2 linked regions of the Drosophila melanogaster genome follow. The gene in region 2 interacts genetically with the main gene of each other region. Each region holds a gene or a part of one and is shown on either strand. Other genes may lie near its edges. The genes, in order: pnt and Sur.

What was found.
Region 1: of Sur (region 2) and pnt, changing one enhances a phenotype caused by changing the other (phenotypic enhancement), as found in Drosophila melanogaster (one study listed by BioGRID).

The regions. Positions count from the first base shown.
Region 1 is NT_033777.3:23,343,080-23,347,952, forward strand, and holds the start of pnt (pointed), read right to left. Parts: upstream 3,089-4,873; 5' UTR 2,319-3,088; intron 1-2,318.
Region 2 is NT_033779.5:10,195,863-10,200,743, forward strand, and holds the start of Sur (sulfonylurea receptor), read right to left. Parts: upstream 3,256-4,881; 5' UTR 2,762-3,255; coding exon 2,586-2,761; intron 1,396-2,585; coding exon 1,130-1,395; intron 1,076-1,129; coding exon 900-1,075; intron 224-899; coding exon 8-223; intron 1-7. Other genes in the region: Ripalpha (RPA-interacting protein alpha), read right to left, coding at 3,970-4,374, 4,429-4,494, 4,554-4,676.

The sequences.
Region 1 (4,873 bases), on a different chromosome or scaffold from region 2:
ACTTGTGCCTCCAAGTGGCAGAGATTAATTTGGGTTTATTTAGTCAATTAATTAAAAGTGACTTGACAATTGTCCTTATCGATTCGCGAATTCCACAGTTTTTTTTTTGAAACCAATCAATCATTCATATGAAAATAAATTCCTCAAATGCAGATAAGTCCAGAGGGAAAATCGAGGAACAAATGCGTAAGTTTGAAAGTGGCACATTTTTCAAAAACCGCCTTCAAATCGCAGCATTTCGAGCACCAAAAATCATTCGGCAGGGTGCCAAAAACGAGTCGCAATCGCTAAAACTATCTGAACAAAAAACCTTATCGCCCCGACACGTAGATAACCGAACCGAAAAAAAAAAATAAAATAAAATAAAATATTATATATACGTATGTATGAGGGAGAGCGAGGGCGACAACAAAAAACCACACGAATCGAATTGAAACGAAAATCGGAGCATATGTTTTCCCTGGAAAAGAGCAAAATTTTTTGGGTTGGCCCATAGTAAGTGGACCAAACGAGTGGAAGATGTCTGGCAGTCCGAGTTTTTGATGTCTGGAGGAGAGTCTGGGCGCAGCAGATGCTTAAAGAACAGATTGTAAACGAATATGATCTTTTGATATGGTGCGCACTCCTCGGCCAGACGACAACGACAGCAACAACTAAAACACCAGCAGCGGCAACAAATAGGGGTGCAATTTTTCGATGTGTACGTAACGGTAGAATACACATTTAGTCGCTGCTCTTTTCTTTCCCAGCGCCTGGCCCTTTTTTCCTCGCGCTGAATGTAAAGAAGGGATCTCCGATCCGCTGATGATCCTCGGGATGCCTGCCTGTGTACACATGTGTTGTTCTATCTGTCGCAGAACAGTCCGAACTGCATGTGTGTGCGGAATATCTATGTGTGCGGAGTATCTGTGTGTGTGGCATATCTGTGCGAGTGTGTCGTCTTGTCTTGTCATGGGATCGATCTTGATCTCGGCCTGTCTGCAGCAGGTTGATACTTTTAGCATCGGTCCGGGCACAGAATCCGAGTTTAACGTGGCATGGGGCAACGAACCAGCCCGTCGAACATCCACTGAACTGTAATTGTCTGTGGGTATTTATGGAAAAGGATCTTGAACTGGTCTTTCATTTCGGACCAGACGCTCGAGGAGGGAAAGGGAGAGGAGCGGTTGGCGGTAGCTGGGCTCAATTATGATCCGACGATCGTCACACATCAAATTATCGATTATGGCAATAATTTCTTATCATTCCCTTGTGTATTTTGCTCGCAAATTGGTTTTTTTTAAATAGCCCAAGGGATATTAAACATGTCTTTAGAGTAGTTCAATGATCGTAACTCCTTAAATTATCGTTTTTTGGCTTTAAGACTGCGATAAGGACGTAAATCAAGTTTTATCATAGAAATAATAACAATTGATCTAAGCAAAATCTTATTGTAAAATTAATCATTTTAATGGTAACATTTTTATAAAATATGATATCGGTTAAGCCTTTAACTATCCTTTGATCTTTTTTGTATTAATAATTACTTTAATTTACATCCCAAATTGTAAGATCCTTTTAAAAACCCTTTCAGGTAACCCAAAGTGCAGAACAGGAAAGCCCCAATTATACATACTTTAAAACCGAAAGGTCAAAAGAGTAGCACTCCGGTATCAGTTTTATTGATACTTAATTGTCTAATGCGATCGCTGTGCTAGATTCTTGACCCTAACCAAAAACCGTTCACACATTCTCGATTACCAAACCCCTTGGATTGATGGCCCGAAACGCGATCGTGGGGCAGGCGAAGCTCATTTGCCGCACCGGAAGCTGTAAAAGGAACAGTAGTAATTTCGAGCGTGTTTCCCACAAGGGTTGTGGAAGTGCCCCACACACACACACTCACGCACACTGGCGGCTAACTAGCTTGGCTATGATGCCGAGTAGAAAACCAATTCAAATTCTGTTGGCCTGGCCAACAACGAGTTTATAGAGGCAGCAATCCTGAATCGAGGCGAGATCGCGAGATCGGCGGATCTACCGAGCGGTAGCCAAACCAGTTTTCTCCTAGATTCATTCAAGAAAACAGGCAACACCAACACAAAAAGGGTTTACATGCACTCAAAAGAAACTCTCTAAATTTCATATTTTTAAGATAAATATGATTTAAAAGTTATATTTCAAAACTATATATCAACAGCAATTAAGAGATATATGGTTTATTATTTGTTTTCAATTGTTTTGTCTTTTAATTTTCGCTGGATTTTTGTTTCGAGTGTAGGGAAAATAACAAAAACTAATACTTGAACTACTGTTTTTCAACACTTCACTTTTCTTACCGGTGCGGGGTAATAAAATAGCGCCCCTTCGTGAACAAGAAGGCGGGGGCTACTGGGCTCTTGATTTTTGGTTTGTGGGTTCTGGATTCTAAAGACCGTCTTTCGGTTGGCTTTTTATTAGGGTATCCAAATTAATTACAGCTTCAAATTAGGCGCACAATCTTGATGGACTCCGCAGCACCGATGACTATCTCTTGCTCGTTCTCTCTCTCTATCACGCTGTATAGATGTGTATGTTTTAACCCTCCGGTGGGATCAGCAGGTTGATTAGGGGGAGAGAGAGAGGGATTACGTGCCGGGCACAAAGACAAACGAAAAACCGAAAGGAACAACTCGAGAAGAAATCGGGGATCGGTTTAGCTCGGCTTATAAGACGCGAAAAGAAACAAACCGAAAAAAGGCCGACGGATCGCTGGCAAACACACACACGCGCGCGCACACTCACACTCAGGCACTCTCACGCGATGTTTGAGGAGATTTTTGTGGTTTTATGATGAATTTCGTATATAGAAATTGGTTTCCTGTGTTTCTGAACCGCGTTTTTTTTTCTGTTGCTGTTTGCCTTCCTTTTTTTGATGTATATTGCGCGCGCAGATCTTTAGATGTTTTGCTATTGCACTCATTCACTTACACACTGGGTTTTTGCTTGGCTTGCAAAGTGTTTTGCATTTGTTATTTATTTGTTATTTGATTCGTATAATTCATTCAAATCGAATTTACCGTAGCGCAAGTGCACGCTTCCCGAAAGAAAGACAAAAACAGACTGACCGACTGGCAACAGGCGGCAGCGACGCCGACGTTGGCGCAGACGCAGCGTTGACGCCAACGCCGACGCACCTTCTCTCTCCGTTTCTCTCTCTCTTTCTCTCCGCTGCTAAGATTAATATTTTTTTGTGTTGCTCTGGCAAGTGATAACAAAAATGGCAAATAATATGAAAATCGAGAGTTATATCAATCTGACTTATAAACATTATTCGCTATTTTACTTGATCGCTGGAATGAAAACGAAAAGGCGTGGGTGATCCTCAATCTCGCTATCTCTTTCGCACTCGCACTAGAGCGTGCATCATGAGCGCAAGAAAAAAATGGAAATCAGAATTACATATTTCGAGCAGCAAAAACAAAGTGTTTGCAGCGACAAAAAAATAGCAACAATTTATAAAAAAAATCTGCTTGCTCAGAACTCAGTGTAAGTGCGAATATGCGAGAGAGTGTGTGGGTGCGTGTATGTGTGTGTGTGTGTGTGTGCGGGCGATCGTTTTTGGCAAGCATTTAAACAGTGCCCAAAATCACTAGTATATTTAAAATATTTAGTATGCAAAGGGGGCGGAATAATAAAGACAAATATTTTAAAATTTGGCAGTCTCAGTCTTTCAATTGTGTACACTGATATAAAAATTTATTTATTTTGATTCTGGATTTTATACAAATCTATATTTTTGACAAATAAAGTAAATTGGTCAAAATATCAGTTCCAGCTTATTTAAAAGGAAAATTATACTAGTTTCTTTGTTATAATAATTAATAAAATATTTATTTAATATGAAATAATACCTATATGAAAATTTTGATGTGAGATTAAATTATCAACTTATTATTATCATTATTAAAGTTTGCACACAATGTGGGAAAGCTGCAGCTTGGGAAAATACTTTTGGACACCCCAAAAAAAGTTAAGCGCGATATTTTCCCACCGTGACCATGACAACCACTGTGCGTTCGAAAGGCTCTCTCTCTCTCTCTCTTTCGCGCAAATCAAAAACACAAACAGGTTTATGTGTGCGGAGAGTGTGTGCGACAGAGAGCGGCGATATGGAACTGAAACGACTGCAATGTTTTTATATTCCGGCAACGCATTTCGCATAAATTACAAATTACACAGCATAAGTGAATGCAAGTGCAGGGGCGGCAGTCAAATGGCCAGCTGCACCCAGAAAAAGGGCAATAAGATTCGGGATAACAAAACTTGATGGCGTTCCCGATTTTCCCGGCCAAGGGAGCGTATATGTACACATAAAAAAAAAAAACTTAACCAGCCTTGCATAACGAAACACGTGCAATAAAAATATGGCTGATTGTCAACCTCTGCTGCAACTTAATTGCTGCCGCAGAGGTAAAACTGAAAAACATAAAAGGGGGCGACAAGTGCAGCAAGCGAAAAAAAAGAACTCAAAGAGCGCATGCGCGCCGCTCTCCCACTCTCTCTCCCTCTCTCCACTGCGCTGGAATCTTACAACTCGTGTAGGTGAGCCGGATTTTTATGAATGAATGCGCCTGTGTGCGTGACTGCATGATGCCATTGCAGCGGAGAACTAGTAGAAAAAACTTCACATTTCAGCAGTTGGAAAACACATGGCCAACAGGCCAACTCAATTGGCCAGCAGCTGTCCTTAAATTGTCAGCAAATAGGGCATTTAATGCCCATTACAGGAAAATTATAGCTAAAATGGTCAAGCTGTGATGAAATAAACATAAATATTATATTTTATGATTTCATCAGATTTTAAGCATTATTTTTTTAATTTGTGTTAGGTGGAACTACAAAGCTAAGAATA
Region 2 (4,881 bases):
GCCCTACTTTCTTCTCAGTGTAAATGTACAAAAAGTGGTCGTAATGCGACCTGGCACTATCCTCCAGCTTCATTTGGCCCAAATCCTCCAGCTCCAGCGGTTCCTTGTAGCCCAGCCACAAAAGAGGTGTTAGCCACCAAAAACAGGATTTCGAATAAAATGTGGCCATGGAGTGTTTGTAGCCTATTTTGCCATAGTCATCCAAATAGTCGTCGTGATAGCACTGTGGGTTGGAAATTTGTTGTTAATTCAGTTAATTCTATAAATCACGAGAGTCCTGCGACAATTGTTAATTCGAAAAGCACACACACAGCTAAATATTTCCGCTCATCCACACTTTTTTGTGTATTTAAATATTCAACTTGAGCCTTCATTTCCTACTTTGCCTGTTAGCACGGGACTCATCATGTTGCAAAGCCACAAACTGGATGGCAAAAAAAAAGAAAATATATAGAATAAACATCATAAACATTTTCGCCAAGTATGAAAGACATTAAGCTGAAAATCACCACTTAACCCCAATTAAAATTTAAACATGCAACAACTCGCATAGCGATTTTTGGCTTCCTCTGTTGCGCCAACTTGCATTTATTAGCGCAGCATTTAAATAAATACGTTTTGGCCATTGAAATAAACACATTATTTAAATAAAACAATGGAGTAGTTTCCATTCGCTTGGTAAGAAGGAATTTGAAAATTTTAACTTGAGTAATACTATTAAGTTTTAGAACAATCTACATTGATAACTCCTTATAAATATTGTTTTTAAATGGTTGGATTTCAGGTAAATAATATTTAAATTTAATATCCATTAATCCATTTTTATTCTTTAAATACTACAAAATCTCCTAGTAAGCTTTAAAGCCATAGATTGAAGATATTTTTCAATAAATGCTCACTTCTTTGTACACAGTTAATCCGTCCAGCATTGCCAGGGACACCATGCACATGGCAGACATGGCCACCAGGCACGTCTGCAGCTCCAGGAAATCCTCGTAGCGAACCAGCTCGAAAAGTTCATTGGAGAGCAGGGCAAATGTCAACGCCTCCACCGCAGTGCTGGCATACAAAAACACTGAAATTGGCATAAAACTAGATGAGGGAACTTCTCTATTGGCCAAAAACTCACCTGTCGCCTTTTTGCGCTCCACCATTCGATGGTAGAGCATTAGCATGAGGGTCAGCAAAGTGGAGAAGAGCGCATTCCACAGCTCACCCGATCCAATGACAACCAAATAGTTGAGATCCCTGGGACTCGACTGGAAAAGTCTGTTCAGATTCCGAACATTTTGATGGGGCAAAAAGATTCTGGCCAAATCAAAGCTATTCAGGGCCAAAAGGAGTAGGGAGATCGCAGCACGTCCATTGTGGAACGTAAGCAATGTTTTATGGCATCTAGTTTAAAAGTTAAGAGGTTTATATAGATATGGATATCATCTATGATCATATATCACATAATTTTATATGGAAATCCCTCCAGATCATTTCTTACAAAGATCTCATATGGAACCACTTCAGCATAATAAATCATAAAAATCATGCAGCTAAATTTCTATAATTAACTGCAGTGTAAATAAATTCAATAAATGATATTGATTTCGTGTTCATCCGCATATTTATTTATAAGAATCCGCCCTTAAAGCAAAGTGCGTTGCAGAACCAATTGAGATTTACCCATTTGAGATACATCCCATTGAGAATACTTTGGCACGCGATGCGTTATTTTTTTTTTCGAATTTGGAATGCCAAGTTGATTGTTTTTTAATTTCGCTGCGGGTTGCATTCGATTTTCAATGCACTTGAAGTACGGATATCAATTATGGGATTTTGAGTGAGTTTCCGGAACAAAATAAGGGGGAGATAATATATTTTATTCTAATTCTATATGTATAAATAGTTTTTCCTGTAAGGAAATACCGATCTTTTGACCTTTAGAAATTTCCGAGAACAAGTAACAATACTTCCTTTTTGGTCATAAAATTTTCACGTTTACTTTTTGTTTAAACAAACAATTAGCAACAGTCGATTGTGTATGCAAATGACTTAAAGTGCGTGCAAAAGAATAAAAATTAAGCACTTAAAATATGTTTTATGTTATCTTGGGCCATAAAATGCTGTCTGTGTGATTTCTAAATGAGGTAACAAACTTGAGCTCCCTAGTCATTTCTCCAGAATTCGTTTAATCTACAAAACGCATGTGCTAAATTTAAACAAATGTGCTCATTTGCTTCTCAAAAATATACGTATACATTTGTTGAATTTATTTACACTCTTATTTTGGACCTAATTGAGCAAGGAGTAAACTGGACATCAAACTTCTGATGATAATCATTTGAAATCCATTACATGTGACCTTATTTTCGTTTAAGAGCTTTGCACAATTTCAAGCAAAAAATCGCTTGCTCTGCTGTAAACAAAAGAAGTACATGTTTACACTTGGGTCGAAAATAAACAAATAAAAAAACAGAGCGAAATTCACTATTATTTTAGTTTAAACTTGAAAGTGTGTCAATTCAACTCTGGCCGCCCAAGTTGCAAATATACACATATCATATATTTAAATCCCGCAAATGAATAAAACTCACTTTTTGTATCTACTGCAAACAAACATCAATCCGAAAAGTAGCAGAAAAATGCTGAAAAACGTAAAAACACGCCGCACACGGTCAATGCCACAGATATCTGTATTCAAATTGTCATAAATGGAGCGAACATGCCCATTCAAGTGATCACAGTGTATTATATTGAACAACTGCTTCATGATGGCCAATAAAACCATGAACTTATGGCCAAAACGCTTATTGAACACTGCAAGAAGTTTTCACTTTTCCGATTTCAATTTAAAATCATTTGTATTTCGCTCACTATTAAATCGAGTCCATAGGCAGCACTTTGAAAACTTTGCGCCCAACAGGTTGAGCAGCAAATACAGAATCGCTCAATATAAACAAACTATTTCGCAATCGGGAATATGCAGTGCAATGTGTGTTATGCCCGATCCAATTCGATATATGTACATATATATATATGTATGTACATATGGATGGTACCACAATGGATTTCGTTCCAAAGCGAGAAGAGCGCGCCGCGTCCCCGGTTGCCATTCAATTATTATTATTATTCTTTTTAAGTAATTTTTGTATAAACAACACACAACGCAGAGATATGTGTGGCGCACGTTCGGCCGCGATTAAGAAATCTTCGCGAGAAGAAAAGGCCAACCGACTCCGACCGAGCGTGGCGGCTCACTAACCACACTGAGCACATACATTCTCGCCAGCAGGAAAAACGACGAAGTGCCAGTCAGCCCGAACTCGAGAAGATATTGCACTGATCTGAATCTGAATCTGAATCTGGGGGATCGCGCACGTGCGCGATGGGAAAAAGCTCTTCCCACATCGCCGGAATCGTGGGGTGCCAGCCCACTGATACCATCGACCCATATATGATGCACTAAATCAACTCGAAGCGAACCAGAAGTTATAAGCAATTAATAAATAGTTTGTTAAACTTTACAATAAGCAGAGAAAAACGTTTTATATTCATAAATCAAACTTAGTCTCGCACCTGATTTATTTTCTTAATCTAGAATGCCACATTAGAAGAATGGTTTAGTTTGAATTTTGTAAGAGCCTAGAATACATTTTATAAATCTGTTATTCCTAAGATTTTAATTTTAATTTGTTGTGCAATTATAACAATATGCTTAAAGATCTCATTTCTAGCCATAACTCATATCATTCTTTGGATTTAGATTAATTAGGGGGGGAATATCATGTATCACTGTTTCAAAAATTTAATACGCATATAAAGCCTTCGGATCTAAAAAATCTTCTGTGCAGATCTCTGGTTTTCCAAACTGATAAGACTGTCTGAAGTTTAACTTATGTAACTTATCTTATTATAACTAATAAACTCCTTTAAACTAGCTATCAGCAGTCAGCGGTAGAAACCAGCTCCATAAACGACCTAGACGGAGGAGAAGTAGTCGCAGCTGCCGCACATGTCGTATAGTTGTCCCGAAGCGGGTTCGATGAAAAATCGCAGGGCCTGAGTGCACTGAAGTTCATGGCTGGCGATTTGTTGTTGCAGCAGTATCTGCAGCTGTTCCATGTTCGCAGAGTGCTCGAAGCGGATGCCACACTCGCAGATGAAGGCACCTTTGTGATGGCGTAGGTTTTTAATCTGACAAACTGGGCATAAAACCTCCTTTTGCTGCTCATCGGGCTCTGCGTATAGCGTTTCCAGATTCTTTTCGCCCAGGGCATACCACTCGTTGACATCGGATAGTAGCTCCTCCAGAATCAGCTCCTCAAGCTCCACATCCTTCTCTAGCTCACTGAGTTCCAGGCGCAGGATTTCCCTGAGTTCGGACTGAAAAAATGGGTGGTTTATGATGGGCTTACTATGGAGATTTGTATGTCCTACCAATTGGATTTCTCGTTGGGCATCCGTGCATCTATTGCGCGTTTCTATGATGCGCTTGCGGTATTTCTACAGGGTATTTATGTGTAAGTATATTGGTACTTTAAGGGGTACACTGATGTCTTTACCTCTCGCAGCATTTCGCGAAGTCTTGGCATTTGGTTGCCCATCCGCTGTCTTTTGGCCACTTCTTGAGCATGCCGCTTTTGCTCCACGGAGGTGCGATAAACCGGGCTTTGAGTGGAGTTCATTTCGGTTTATTTGTATATGTGGTTATTTTGTTTGTTTTTAATCTTTTTTTTTAACTAGATATGGTAGGTCAGTGTCGTCAATAAGGCAAGGTTCCAATTTTATAGCGCTGTTGGTGATTGATAGTGATCTAAAAAGTATACGGTATTCAAAATTAATTAGGTAAATTAAGTGAAATGAAGTAAATGTAAGATACGACTCATCTCC